Struthio camelus: one gene and its partner. The protein of the gene in region 2 purifies or fractionates together with the protein of the main gene of each other region. This does not show direct contact. Links are inferred from orthologs where the notes say so. Each region holds a gene or a part of one and is shown on either strand. Other genes may lie near its edges.

Region 1 (7,096 bases), on a different chromosome or scaffold from region 2:
AGGCAGACTCCTGCCACCAAGCGTTTATGTGACTGCTCAGCAAACCCCACCCAGACACAGGGCTAGTTATTTTTCGAACTGATCTAGCAAAAAAGGCCTCAGCTCAACCAGTTCCCCAATCCGGTTTACTCTGCAGCTTCAGAAGTCCTCCTGCAGGCACAAGGAGGACAGCAGAACTGCTTCGTTCAGCAGCCACACCACCAATGTGTTAATGCCACCACCGCCTTAGCAACTAGTCCAAGGAATTTCCTGTGTAAAGCGTGCTACTTTGGCGCAGATAGCAAAGAACCTGAAAAAGCTAAAGAACCAGAAACGTGGTGGACATCTGCTTGCCAGTGAACTACCACAGAATCACAGAACAGTTGAGGTTGGAAGGGATATCTGGAGATCATCTAGTCCAAGCCCCCTGCTCCACCAGGGTCACCTATAGCACGTTGTCCAGCATCGCATCCGGGCGGGTTTTGCATATCTCCAGCGAAGGAGACTCCACTACCTCTCTGGGCAACCTGTTCCAGTGCTCTGTCACCCTCACAGTGAAGAGGTTTTGCTTCATGTTCAGATGGACCTTCCTGTGTTTCAGTTTATGCCCGTTGCTTCTTGCCCTGTCACTGGGCACCACGGAGAAGAGGCTGGCCCCATCCTCTCAACACCCTCCCTTCACATACTTCTACACATTTATGAGATCGCCTCTCAATCTTCTCTTCTCCAGGCTGAACAGGCCCAGATCCCTCAGCCTTTCCTCAGAGCAGAGATGCTCCAGGCCCTTCATCATCTGTGTAGCCCTCCGCTGGACTCTCTCCAGGAGCTCCATGTCTCTCTTGTACTGGGGAGCCCAGAACTGGACCCAGTACTCCAGGTGAGGCCTCCCCAGGGCTGAGGAGAGGGGCAGGATCACCTCCCTCCACCTGCGGGCAACACTCTGCCTAATGCACCCCAGGATCCCACTGGTCTTCTTGGCCACAAGGGCGCATTGCTGCCTCATGGTCACCTTGTTGTCCACCAGGACTCCCAGGCCCTTCTCGGCAGAGCTGCTTTCCAGCAGATCAGCCCCCAGCCTGTCCTGCTGCCTGGGGTTATTCCTCCCCAGGGACAGGACCCTGCTCTTGCCTCCGCTGAACTTTGAGGAGGTTCCTCTCCGCCCAGCTCTCCAGCCTGTCCACGTCCCTCTGAATGGCAGCACAGTCTTCTGGTGTGTTAGCCTCTCCTCCCACTTTGGGATCATCAGCAAACTTATGCAGAGGGTGCACTCTGTCCCTTCCTCCAGGTCACTGATGAGTATGTTGAACAAGACTGGACCCAGGACTGACCCCTGGGGGACACCACTGGGCTACAGGCCTCCAACTAGACTCCGCAACACTGACCACAACCCTCTGAGCTCGGCCATCCAGCTAATTTCTTATCCACCTCACTGTCCACTCATCCAACCCACACTTCCTGAGCTTACCTACGAGGATGTGATGGGAGACAGTGTCAAAAGCCTTGCTGGCACACAAGGGGGAAGACATGATGATTACGGAGCCTGGTCCTCTCCTGCTGCAAGAACCCACAGCATAATCCTGCTGCCGACTTTATCAAGCTTCATCTCAAAAGCAGCAAAGGTTTTGGATCCGTCTCCAGACTAACCCACTCAAAGCTTCCTGGAAAATCCCCGGCAAAGACAAGGATCTTGCACATACCTGCCTCGCAATCCCACCTACGCCGAGGGAGAAGCGCAAGGCGCTCGCAGGTCTGGCGCAGGTCTGGTCCCCCTGCCCGGCCGTGGGAGGGGGAGAGGCGCCAGATCACGGTCCCTCCGGCCACCTCCGTGTCCTGCAGCGTCACGGTCCCACACAGTCGTCCCCAAAGGGTCACCACCCCCCTAAAGCATCCTGTCCCCCCACCCCAGGTCACTGTGTCCCTCCCAGGTTCCCTGCTCCCCACAGCGGCCCCATACCCCCCCCCACCTCGCTGTCCCTCTGCTCCCCCCCCTCCAGGTCCCCGTTCCCCCCCCCACCTCGCTATCCCTCTGCTCCCCCCCCTCCAAGTCCCCCTTCCCCCCCCACCTCGCTGTCCCTCTGCTCCCCCCCCCAGGTCCCCCTCCCCCCCCCACCTCACTGTCCCTCTGCTCCCCCCCTCCAGGTCCCCCTTCCCCCCCCCACCTCACTGTCCCTCTGCTCCCCCCCCTCCAGGTCCCCCCCTTCCCCCCCCCACCTCGCTGTCCCTCTGCTCCCCCCCCCTCCAGGTCCCCCTTCCCCCCCCCACCTCGCTGTCCCTCTGCTCCCCCCCCTCCAGGTCCCCCCCTTCCCCCCCCCACCTCGCTGTCCCTCTGCTCCCCCCCCTCCAGGTCCCCCTTCCCCCCCCCACCTCGCTGTCCCTCTGCTCCCCCCCCTCCACGTCCCCCTTCCCCCCCCACCTCGCTGTCCCTCTGCTCCCCCCCCCTCCACATCCCCCTTCCCCCCCCACCTCGCTGTCCCTCTGCTCCCCCCCCCCCGGTCCCCATTCCCCCCCCCACCTCGCTGTCCCTCTGCTCCCCCCCCCCCGGTCCCCCTTCCCCCCCCACCTCGCTGTCCCTCTGCTCCCCCCCCCCAGGTCCCCCTTCCCCCCCCACCTCGCTGTCCCTCTGCTCCCCCCCCCCCAGGTCCCCCTTCCCCCCCCACCTCGCTGTCCCTCTGCTCCCCCCCCCCCAGGTCCCCCTTCCCCCCCCACCTCGCTGTCCCTCTGCTCCCCCCCCCCCAGGTCCCCCTTCCCCCCCCCACCTCGCTGTCCCTCTGCTCCCCCCCCTCCACGTCCCCCTTCCCCCCCCCACCTCGCTGTCCCTCTGCTCCCCCCCCTCCACGTCCCCCTTCCCCCCCCCACCTCGCTGTCCCTCTGCTCCCCCCCTCCAGGTCCCCCTTCCCCCCCCAGGCCCTAGGCCCCCCCCTCAGGCCCTACCGTATTCACTGTAGCCGCGGGGCCCCCGCCGGAACCCCCCGCCCCGCGGCGCAAAGCAGCCGACGCGGCCTCCTGCCCGATTCAAATGGCTGCGCCGGCCCCCTGCCCCCTGCCTATTGGCTGCCGACCAGGATACGTCAGCGTGGCCTTACGTCACGTGAGGTTGCGAGGCGGCGGAGGGCGGGGAACTACCAATCCCAGCGGGGCGAGCGCTCGTCCCGGCGTGCCCCGCGCGGGGCGGGGCGGGGCGAGGGGCTGGTTGCCGTGGCGACGGCGGCGCGCGGGGGGTGGTGAGCGGGGCGCCCGTGGGGCCGCGCGGGCGGTTAGGGGACACGCGTGGGGCCCTGTGGGGAGGAGCGGGGTGTGGGGCGTTGTACAGGAGGAGGGGGGAGATGTCTGATGCCCCACGCGGGGAAGGACGCACCTAGGATCCTGTGTGGGTAAGGGATACGCGTGGGAGCCAGGGCACTGGTGACGGGAGACATGCGAGTGGCCCCACGCGCGGAGAATGGGGCTCGAGTGGGGCTGTGTGGGGACGAGAACACATATGGGGACGTGGGGGGGGTGTCTGGCGCAGGAGGATGTGGGGAGGCAGGCATGGGGACGTGTGGGGAGGTGGGCCGGGGCAGGGGGACGCGAGTGGGTGCGGGTGGGAGCAGAGGGACAGGCATGGGGATGCCTGTGGGGGCAGGAGGACATGGGCGGCGGCTGGGGGACTCGCCGTGGGGCTGCGTGTGGGAGCAGGACGATACCCACGGGCACGTGCGTGTGGGGCAGGAGGACACGCGTGGGCACTCCCGTGGGGACAGGCGGATGCCCATGGGGATGCATGTGAGGACATATGGGGGCAGGAGGACATGTGTGGGGATGCCCCGTGGGGGGTTGGTGCATGGCCTTGAGGATGCCCGTGGGGGGCCAGGGACACGTGTGAGGACACATGGGGGCAGGGGGACACGTGTGGGGACACGCGTGGGGTGTGGGGACACCCATGAGGGTGTGCGCGGGGGCTGGGGACACATGTGGGGACACACTGGGGCAGGAGGACACATGTGGAGATACCCGTGGGGGGCAGGAGCACAGCTGTGGAGATGTGCACGGGGGCTGGTGACACGTGTGAGGACACATGGGGGCAGGGGGACACGCGTGGGGACACCCGTGGGGGGTGGGGACACCCATGAGGGTGTGCACGGGGGCTGGGGACACATGTGGGGACACACTGGGGCAGGAGGACACATGTGGGGGTTTGTGCGGGGGCCAGAGACACCTATGGGGACACATGGGGGCAGGAAGACGTGTGAGGGGATGCCCGTGGGGGGCAGGAGCACTGCTGTGGGGATGTGCACAGGGGCTGGGGACATATGGGGACATATGGGGGCAGGAGGACATGTGTGGGGACACCCGTGAGGGGTGAGGATGCCCATGGGGGTGTGCGCGAGGGCCAGGGACACGTGTGGGGACACATGAGGGCAGGAGGACACGCGTGGGGACGCCCGAGGGGGTGTGCATGGGGGCCGGGGACACGTGGGGACACGTGGGGGCAGGAGGACACGCGTGGGGATGCCCGTGTGGGTGTGCGTAGGGACACATGGGGGCAGGAGGACACGCGTGGGGGCAGGAGGACACGCGTGGGGACGCCCGTGGGGGTGTGCGTAGGGACACATGGGGGCAGGAGGACACGCGTGGGGGCAGGAGGACACGCGTGGGGACGCCCGTGGGGGTGTGCGTAGGGACACATGGGGGCAGGAGGACACGCGTGGGGACGCCCGTGGGGGTGTGCGTAGGGACACATGGGGGCAGGAGGACACGCGTGGGGGCAGGAGGACACGCGTGGGGACGCCCGTGGGGGTGTGCGTAGGGACACATGGGGGCAGGAGGACACGCGTGGGGACGCCCGTGGGGGTGTGCGTAGGGACACATGGGGGCAGGAGGACACGCGTGGGGACGCCCGTGGGGGTGTGCGTAGGGACACATGGGGGCAGGAGGACACACGTGGGGGCAGGAGGACACGCGTGGGGACGCCCGTGGGGGTGTGCGTAGGAACACATGGGGGCAGGAGGACACGCGTGGGGGCAGGAGGACACGCGTGGGGACGCCCGTGGGGGTGTGCGTAGGAACACATGGGGGCAGGAGGACACGCGTGGGGGCAGGAGGACACGCGTGGGGACGCCCGTGGGGGTGTGCGTAGGAACACATGGGGGCAGGAGGACACGCGTGGGGACGCCCGTGGGGGTGTGCGTAGGGACACATGGGGGCAGGAGGACACGCGTGGGGACGCCCGTGGGGGTGTGCGTAGGGACACATGGGGGCAGGAGGACACGCGTGGGGGCAGGAGGACACGCATGGGGACGCCCGTGGGGGTGTGCGTAGGGACACATGGGGGCAGGAGGACACGCGTGGGGGCAGGAGGACACGCGTGGGGACGCCCGTGGGGGTGTGCGTAGGGACACATGGGGGCAGGAGGACACGCGTGGGGGCAGGAGGACACGCGTGGGGACGCCCGTGGGGGTGTGCGTAGGAACACATGGGGGCAGGAGGACACGCGTGGGGACGCCCGTGGGGGTGTGCGTAGGGACACATGGGGGCAGGAGGACACGCGTGGGGGCAGGAGGACACGCGTGGGGACGCCCGTGGGGGTGTGCGTAGGGACACATGGGGGCAGGAGGACACGCGTGGGGACGCCCGTGGGGGTGTGCGTAGGGACACATGGGGGCAGGAGGACACGCGTGGGGGCAGGAGGACACGCGTGGGGACGCCCGTGGGGGTGTGCGTAGGGACACATGGGGGCAGGAGGACACGCGTGGGGGCAGGAGGACACGCGTGGGGACGCCCGTGGGGGCCAGGAGGACGCCCGTGGCAGCCAGACACATGCGTGGGGACGCCCGCGGTGTGTGTGTGTGGAGGGGGGGGGCTGGGGACACGGGTGGGGACATCCGCGGGGGCAGGAGGACAGGCGTGGGGTCGGGGCGGGGGACAGCACCCCGACAAGCGCCGCCCCGCGCAGGGGGGCCGCCTCCGCCGCCGGCCTCGGCCCCATGGCGCGGTGCCCGGCCCTGGCGCCCCCCCTCGACTTCTCCTTCCGCGGCGCCACCTCCATCCCAGGTGGGACCCCGGGGGCAGAAAAGGGGTGGTGGTGGGGGGGGGGGGGAGCCCCCCGGCGGGCACCTCTCACCCCCCCCCCCACCCCGCGCGCCCAGAGCTGCTGGCGCAGGAGCCGCGGGCCGGGGCGGCGGGGCGGGCGGCGGGGCGCTCGGCCGGCGGCCGCCTGCTTGCCGGCGCCCTGCGCCTCAACAACAACGCGCTGGGCAGCCTGGCCGGCCTGGCGCCCGCCCTCGAGCGGCTCCTCGAGGCCCCCGAGCGGCTCTCCTGGCTCGACCTCTCCTTCAACGCGCTGCCCACCATCGACCCGGTAGGGCGCTGGGGTTTGGGGGGGGGGTAGGGGGGGCTCCCCGCGCCTCGGGGCGGCTGCTCACGGCCCGGCGGGCGCCCGCAGGTGCTGACCGCCTACCGCCACCTGCGCAGCCTCCACCTGCACGCCAACGGCATCCGCAGCCTGGCCGAGGTGGACAAGCTGGCCGCCCTGCCGCGCCTGCGCCGCCTCACCCTGCACGGCAACCCCGTCGAGGAGCAGCCGGGCTACAGGTATGCTGCTCGCCCCCCCCCGCCTCTCCCCTGCCCCACCTCCCTTTTTTGGGGGGGGGGGGGGGTCTCAGCGCCTGTCCCCCCCCCCCCGACCGCCGCCTCCGCGCCCCGGCAGGAGCTACGTCATCTCCGTGCTGCCCCAGCTCAAGTCCTTCGACTTCAGCGGCGTCACCAAGCAGGACCGCTCCACCGCCGCCGCCTGGAAGCGCATGCAGGCCAAGCCCAAGGCGGCCGGGAAGGCGGCGGCGGCGGGGGGCAGCTCCCGAGCTGGAGCCCCCCCCCCCCAGCCCCGCGCACCCACCGGGGCGGCTGCTGCTGCTGCTGCTGGCAGGGCCGCGAAGCAGGAGGCTGGCGGGGAGCGGCTCGGCCTCGGGCGCCCTTCCGGGGCTGGCTTCGCCCCCGGACCCCGCGCCGGCCCTCCTCCCGCTCCCTCCCCTTCCTCATAAATAAAGCCCCCCCTCACCCCGGCGGCACCGCCCGGGGTTAAGGAAACAACGCCTGCGAACCGGACTCGTCCTGCAGCATCGTCCGCGAGGCGCTTTGGGGC
Region 2 (7,391 bases):
CAAATAAAAACCTGTAAAGAGCAAATCTTTTTCAAAGAGCAAGCATTCGGCAAGAGTAGACCAAGAAGACCTCAAGTAAATATTTAGCAGGTCTCCACTCTAGATAAGAAAGACCCCGCCCTGTTTAATTCAAAAATCACATGAGTTGTAGATTCACCTTCACTTGGTCCTTCTTGGAAGAGAAAATAAAACCCAGACTAAAATTAGGCCTCTTCAGTTTTGCTGCAGTTCCCCCAGAAAGGAGGGTAGGGTCCCGGTGTGCCAGGCGGCTCCGAGGCGGAGGAGCGAGCAGGCTGGTGTGCGGGTGCCCCACCCTGCTGCCCCAGCGCTGCAAGCTGCCACCTCCTCCTCCTCGCAAAGGCAAAGCCTGCCCACCAGCAAAGCAGCTAAAAGGCAGGCTCCCATCCGATGAGCTCCTGCGATGCGGCTGACGTGCTCCCAGTAACACTGGCTAGCCTTTTAGAGGAAAAGGCCATCAACTGCATCATTAATGAAGTGGTGCGGCTGTGAGAAATTAGCTCCGGGAGAGTTAGCGTGGATTGTATTAGTCTGATTAAATAAAAATAATACATTTCTAATGCTTCCCAATGCGTTTAATGTTCTGCTTCTGATTATTCATCACTGCAGTGAACAGGTCTGTAGCACTTTAAAAGCTCCAGAAGCCTTCCTATGCCAGCAGTACCATAAGGAATAAACTTACAATTGCTCTTTACTCTAATGCGGGTTTCTTGGTCTCTCTTTTCCCATTATTGATATGCAGGTTTCATCCTCACATTAGAGCTGAAAGTTTCCAGTCCAAGGACACCAGCGTGACAGTATGCGTATGTGTGTGTATTATTACAAATGCACACACAGACACATAGGTGCAGCAAAACCAATGAATTTAACTAGATAATTGATATGCCAAGATGACGTTGACCTTTTAATGCTCCAAGAAAAGACTATCGTCCATATCTTTAGAGAAAAAGCCTATACTCCATCACATTTGACCAAGATTTACTAGACAAAAAGTAACATATATTGCTTTTATCCTCATTTTTTGCAGATAAAACCTACAATTTTACTTGTTTGTCTTTTTAAAACAAATTTCTCAGCTTACTACTGATGTAGGAGAAGGCTGGCAATATTATATGTAAAATGGAAAAAAGTAATTTAGATTGCACGCTATAAAAAGACATACATGTGAGACACACCTAACCTAGAGACCATCTTTGACAAGAAGACCTCTGACTTATAATCATTTTGATTGAAAAGACTTCAAGTGACACACGCACTTTTTCTTCTGCTTACAAGTGACGTGCATGTTGAGTTAAGGAAGTATGTTCGCTCTGCCTCAAATACAAGCATGCATTGGAAGCTACAATTTAAAGCAAAAATAATCTTTCAGAATGTTTTCTTCCTCCCCTCAAAAACAGTTACAGGAAAAACAAATTTCAGTGAACAGCAAAAACAGATTTGGTATATCTTACTACTTCTATTGATTATGGAAACGTGAGTTAGCATATATATGATAAAGTTTTAGGTCTTTGAATGGAAAAAAAAAAACCCCGCAAACCCCTCTCTCCTTCCTCCAAATAAAACTGAGCTACAGCAGAGCAATTATTAGAACGTGATTAGCAAAAGCTTTGACGGCCACACCCTTTTTTTTTTTTTTTCTTTTAAGACCTGTGAAAATACACACAAGTTTTCACGCTACACTACATAAACCCGCGAGGATGCATAGCGTCGGAGTCCCACGCTACGCGTGGCGACCGAGGAGCAGGCAGAGAGCACAACCCAAACTTCGGCACACCTGCACGCCTTTGCCCCGGGGTAAGTCGCGCTCAGGTCCACGCCACGCACACAAGCCACTTGCCCGGCGTCGGGATAGACAGGACCTGGTGTTTTGGAGACCCCGAGGCGAGCGGCCGGGCCGCGCCGCCACTGCAGAGTGCGGGGCTGTGATTGCCGATAACCACACCCGCCGCATTGCAGAAGCCACGGCCCGGGGGGGGGGGGGAAGAGGGAAAACAGCCCCCCCCGCCACCGCCGGGCTCGCCTCCCAGGCCGGCAGAGCAAGGAGAAAACCGCGGCGGGGGTCCCCGCCGCCTCCCCCACCCCCTCCCCCGTGCCCCATCGCAGGGGGCCCGGCGCAGGCAGCACCCCCCGCCCAGGTGAGCCCGGCAGCGGGGACTGGGGCCGGCCCCCGGCACCCCGAGCCAGCCCCCACCCCCCCCCCCACCGCACCGCCGGGGCCTCTGCTGCCCGCACAAGTTTCCCATAGAAATGCATATAGCTACATTAGAAAAAAAACAACCCCCCCCCCAAAAAAAAACCCAAACCCAACCTCACAGCACCCGCTCTCCCACAGACGCCGCGTGTGCCGCCGTCCTTCCTCCTGCCCGGCGCCGAGCCGCGCTCCCCCCGCGGAGTGGCAGGAAGCGCCCTCCGCGCCCGCGGACACGGCGCGCAGCCCGACCGCAGCAGCGCCGCCGCGGGCACCGCTCGGTACCGTCTCCCGCCGACCCCAGGAGCATGGGCATCCCGGCTTCATCCTCTCCCCCCCCCCACCCCCCCGGCCCCCGCAGCGGCTAACTTAAAAATGGCTCCTGTTAAAGAGATTTACATACATAAAACAGATAAATATATATGCATTATATATATGTATATATTAAAAAAAAAAAGTGGAAGGGGGGGGGAGATGCAATCTGCAAGCGCCCCCCAGCCCTTGAGGACTATCCCCGCTCCCTCCTGCGGGGAGGACACGGCGCCCGCTGCGCCGGAGCGGCGGGAAGGTACCTTGGCGGCGGCGGCGGGGAGCGGAGCGGAGCGGAGCGGGCGGGAGCGCGGGCTGCTCCCGGCGGCGGCGGCGGCGGCCACGCGTCAGCAGCGGCAGCGCAGCCCGGCTCTGCCCAGAGCGAGCCTCCGCCGCTCCCCAGCAAATCAGGGCGGGGGAGACTCCTCCAGCGAGAGGCAGGGAGGGAGGGGAAAAAAAGTAGGGGGGGGAAGGAGGGGAGGGGAAAAAAAAAAAAAGCCCACACCGCGGCAAATAGCAAAAGCTGGATGGTGGCTTCTGGAGCAAGGCCCCCCGGCTGAGCAGGGGCAGCAGTGATGCTCCCCAGATACACCAGCTGGGAGCAGCCCCCTCCGGCCACGCATCCCCAGCAGGACCCGGATCCGCACCTGCGTCCAGAGGGATCTGGCCGGTTTTGGGCTCAGAAATGAATTCTGCTATATAGAGAGACAAATTTAGCTGCTGCAGTTGCAACCAAACCTAGCAATAGAGAATCTTCCCGGGAACTTAAAACCAGTGGCTGGATGCTGACAAGGTCTGGCTTTGATTTACCTTTGGGATTTTTGTGGTGGGGGGTAGCAGTCTTTCACATTTTAATTTCCAACCACAGAACATGTGCTCTAAAAAATTTGGACCATGTTTCACTTGACATGATCACCAAAACAAAGACAAATACTGGCCCTGTCTCATGCAAGGCTACAGATCCAAAAATGATAACATAAAACTGAAAGTAACTTTTGACTATTGCTAGGCCACCTAATACAATACAGACCACAACATGCCCCATGTCAGGAAGCAACAAGAGCTCCTAGCCCATACAGAAGCAGTTTCGGGGGGGATAATCTTACTTTCACTAATTATGCAGCGTCTCTTAGAGCATGAAACCAAGCTCTCCACTGCCTAACAGTGCACGATAGGAGCAGCTATTCGATCTGAGGCTCTGACGCACTATGGTGCTCAGATGCGCTGCTCGTTAGCCTATTTGTGGGACCAGAAGCAGATGAACTTGTTCAAGAGGTGGCATTTGCAGCGTGATGGGTAACGATGGCTGGTGAAGGGAGAACCAAGCACCGAAAGGCTCTTATGCTGGGCCTTCAAGCTGCGGCAACAGAGTGGATGAATTAGGCTTACTCCCTCTTTAGACAGTATATTTTGAGAGCTCCCAAAAATAATAGATCCAAATTTTACTCAGGCCTCTGATATGAATCATGACAGGGAAAAAATACTCCCTTTAATTAGCAGCATCTCTGGGAGATTTAAGAAGAGAAAGTGGTCTTGACAGTAGGCGGCGGACATACCATTTCTCAGAACCGGCAAAACTGCGCTGCTCTGTGCTTAATGCAGAAATATAACAAGTCTCTTCAGTTCATATGCAGAGCTTCCATTTAGCAGTTCTGGCACACTGTAACATGCATAATAGAGAGACTTCAAAAGGAAAATGTGTGCCATCTACTAAGAGAGGGCATACCTCTAGTCATGCAGTTTAAATAAGACGACTTGTATACTATTCTCAGCTAGGAACTCTGGAAGTCATCATGAATCACAAGGGAATGTACTTGACAGCTAAGACATACATTGGAGTTAACAAGGTTTGATTAAAAAAAAAAAAAGACTGAGTTGGTTTGAATCAAATCGAGTCTCAAAAGCAAGGAGACGGGAGACCTAAGAAGTATCCTTATTGGAAAGCAAAGTAAGATTTACTAGTTTAACCTTTTGCGGCTATTGTACTTTCTATTTTAAAAGAAGGTGCTGGACACTGCTTTTAAAGCAGAGATATGCCACTGGAGTATTAGTGCATCACAGCAACATATGTTGTCCTTGGGTAGTACCACAAGGGGGTTTGCCCCACAATTACAATAGACGCGGGGATCCCTTTTGTGGATATACTGCATGTATAATAGCATCTTTCGTTCGAGGATCCAGAAGGCTTTAATGCACATTGATTTAACCTCAAAACATCAAGTGACATTAACAGGCTGTTCTTATGAGCAGGAAACCTTTGCAAGAGATACTAGGTAGCTGGTACCTTTGGGTTACAGATGGGGGCCTGTATTTCAGATTTCTGAAACACAGCAGCGCCGACAGTAAAGTTTTTCTTTTTTGAATAATAATACTTTTTAATTCTGAAGGGAGTTAGCTGGCCAGTTGAATCTGCATTTTTAAATTATTATTTAAAAATATATATTCTTCCAGTAATTTTTATCAAGCCCTACTCCATACTGTTCCCATACAGGTACGAAATAGGAATAATTTCCCTGAATTCACTGGAGATATACCAGTGTTAATTTACCTGAACGGAAGCTCAGATCACCACACACACTAGCCAATGCTAAGAAAAGACGCTGATCTTCGGCCTTGCTATGCGGTAGTCGTTTTAGTTTTGCTCTTTGCTTGCATTTATGTGGGCTGTGCTTCAGGCTTGGCTATCAGGAGTGAAGGAGTTTAATTAATGGCTCCATTCCAGCATCTCTGCATCTCAGCTCCCACGATACGATGTTCAGTCCAGCCCAGGGCACCTCTTCCTCACCATCGGGGAACGCCCTGGCCATGACAAAACACAGCTCCTGCTCTGTACTATGGAAAAGACTGGCAGTGACTCCCTCCATAGTTTGTTTTTTAAGTGACACATTTAGTTTACTTAAGAACAGCATGAACTGGGCAGGGGTAAGAGATGACACAGGCTTGCAGCTTGTGTCAGTTGACTTGAAGGCACAGCCTTTGAACCCTTCATAACCTGCTGCTCCAGGTGCAAGCTCCCTGTGTGCCACTACCCGGCTATCACCCCCTCCTCACCTGAGTGACTGCAAAAGACTTCTCCTAGTTTGTTCCTGCCGGGCCCTCCCCTTTCCCCTTCCATAGCTCCGCGTTGCCCTTTCTCCATCCCCATTCAGCCCTCTTTTCCCTCCTCCTTCCTTTAGCAGCACACCTCCCAGGCTAGGGGCCTCTCTACCCTCTATTTCTCCTTTGCCCTTATGTCACAAATTTTCTTCACCTCTATGCCATATATCTTCCTTGCACTTTTTCCCAGACCAGGATCCTCCAATTTCTTATTGATCCTCCAATTTCTTATCTATGCAAGATGCTAGATGCACATCTGATTGCTTCCACGCTGGGCTGGAAGACAAGCTGTTCTCAGCACCCCGTCCTTTTGGGAGGATGGCACCCAGCTACCATGATGCTGGGAGAGCTGATGCATGCTGACAACCCAACTGTTTCAACAATAGTGAGAGTCACGCAGGAGATCAGTACTAAGCTAGGAAAAACAGGTGGCAAGCTCTGCCCTCCGCTCCCTTTTCCATCCATCTCTTTGAATTTTCCCAATTTCCCTGCATCAGTGAGCACATACAACTTTCTCGGGAAAGTCCTGCAAGGCGAGGGGAAAAAAAAAAAAAAGAGTTCCTTGCATGAAAAGTCAGGGGGAAAAAGGCAAACAGAGCCTCTGACAAGACACAGGTAAATTACAGGTGGGGAGGGAAAAGGCACACACACATGGGTATCTAATTATCCCATGGGATATCAGTTAGAGGAGTGCAGCCGCAAGGAGAACAGGTCTGCCCACAGCCTTTGGCTGTGACAAGGGCTCTCTTTATGGGAGAGGGAAATAGGGAGCCACATGGTCTCTGCCAGGAAAGGATGAATAGGCAACCCTGGAAGAGAAGGGACAAGGATTATCGACCAGCCCCGGGAACTGCTGCCTAAAACATTCTTGTGATTCCCTAATTGATTGGACATGGCATTCAAAATAGCACATTACAGAGAAGCAAGACACAAAAATGCTATCAAACTCAGCAAAAGGCCTTCTAAAGCTTAGCCAACAATGAATTAGTTGGGTACAGCACTTTGAAAAATGGGAAGCACTGTAAAAGTAGTAGTATTATTAGAGCAGTATTAGGAAGATATTTCTCAGCAGACACGAGCTTGGCATTGTATGTCTAGACGGGTAGATGGTTTTGGAGTCGCACTGATTTTTTTTTTTTATTACTGCATCCACTTCCAATTTAATAAAAGCAAACTGATCTGTTCATGACTCATGCAGCTTAGCTTTCTGCATAGCAATGAAACAAAGTTCTCATAATTAAGAGTAATCACTGTGAGACAGCACATGAAGGTAAGATTTAGAAATCAGATCAACCCTTTTTCTGTCTGTCTTCACTTCAAATGTAATGCCTACAGACCTCTAATTGGCCAATATTACCATTGTAATAAACTCTAAGGTGAGATATGACTCTTCCTTTAGTGCAACTCCAGTAACACAGTAGTTCACATTTATTTTCGACACAGGTTTATTGACCTCAGCGCTGGGATTTATTTGGTCTGTTGTTTGAAATAAGTCCTTTTCTGCCAGCCAAAGCCAAACCCACCCCACTGCTGAAAGAACAATCAGTAAATTTGGCCCTAGCCAAAATGAAACTGCAGCTGAAATCCTGAAATATGGAAGATTTACCACAATTAATTCAGCATTGCCCTTCGCCACTTTTATACCCATAATACTCTCAGTCAGAAAGTAGCTAAGTGGATTACTATGTGACGACCTGCTACTGCATCTCTTCAGCCCCTTTCATGAATGAAAGATAACAAAAATCTGAAGGTGCTTTAGGATTTACCTGAGGCTGTGTCC

The links.
Region 1: the proteins of EPB41L3 (region 2) and NUMA1 purify together in Homo sapiens (affinity purification with mass spectrometry; 3 studies listed by BioGRID and IntAct, with this or other methods). This does not show direct contact. The link is inferred for Struthio camelus from reciprocal best matches to the Homo sapiens genes EPB41L3 and NUMA1.

The regions. Positions count from the first base shown.
Region 1 is NC_090942.1:224,086,110-224,093,205, reverse strand, and holds the start of NUMA1 (nuclear mitotic apparatus protein 1), read right to left. Parts: upstream 2,996-7,096; 5' UTR 2,911-2,995; intron 1,811-2,910; exon of another isoform or gene 1,677-1,810; intron 1-1,676. Other genes in the region: LRRC51 (leucine-rich repeat-containing protein 51), read left to right, coding at 3,310-3,350, 5,912-6,009, 6,105-6,316, 6,401-6,549, 6,665-6,995. UniProt on the Homo sapiens protein: Microtubule (MT)-binding protein that plays a role in the formation and maintenance of the spindle poles and the alignement and the segregation of chromosomes during mitotic cell division.
Region 2 is NC_090943.1:117,998,266-118,005,656, reverse strand, and holds the start of EPB41L3 (band 4.1-like protein 3), read right to left. Parts: upstream 3,007-7,391; 5' UTR 2,779-3,006; intron 2,436-2,778; exon of another isoform or gene 2,327-2,435; intron 1-2,326. UniProt on the Homo sapiens protein: Tumor suppressor that inhibits cell proliferation and promotes apoptosis. Modulates the activity of protein arginine N-methyltransferases, including PRMT3 and PRMT5.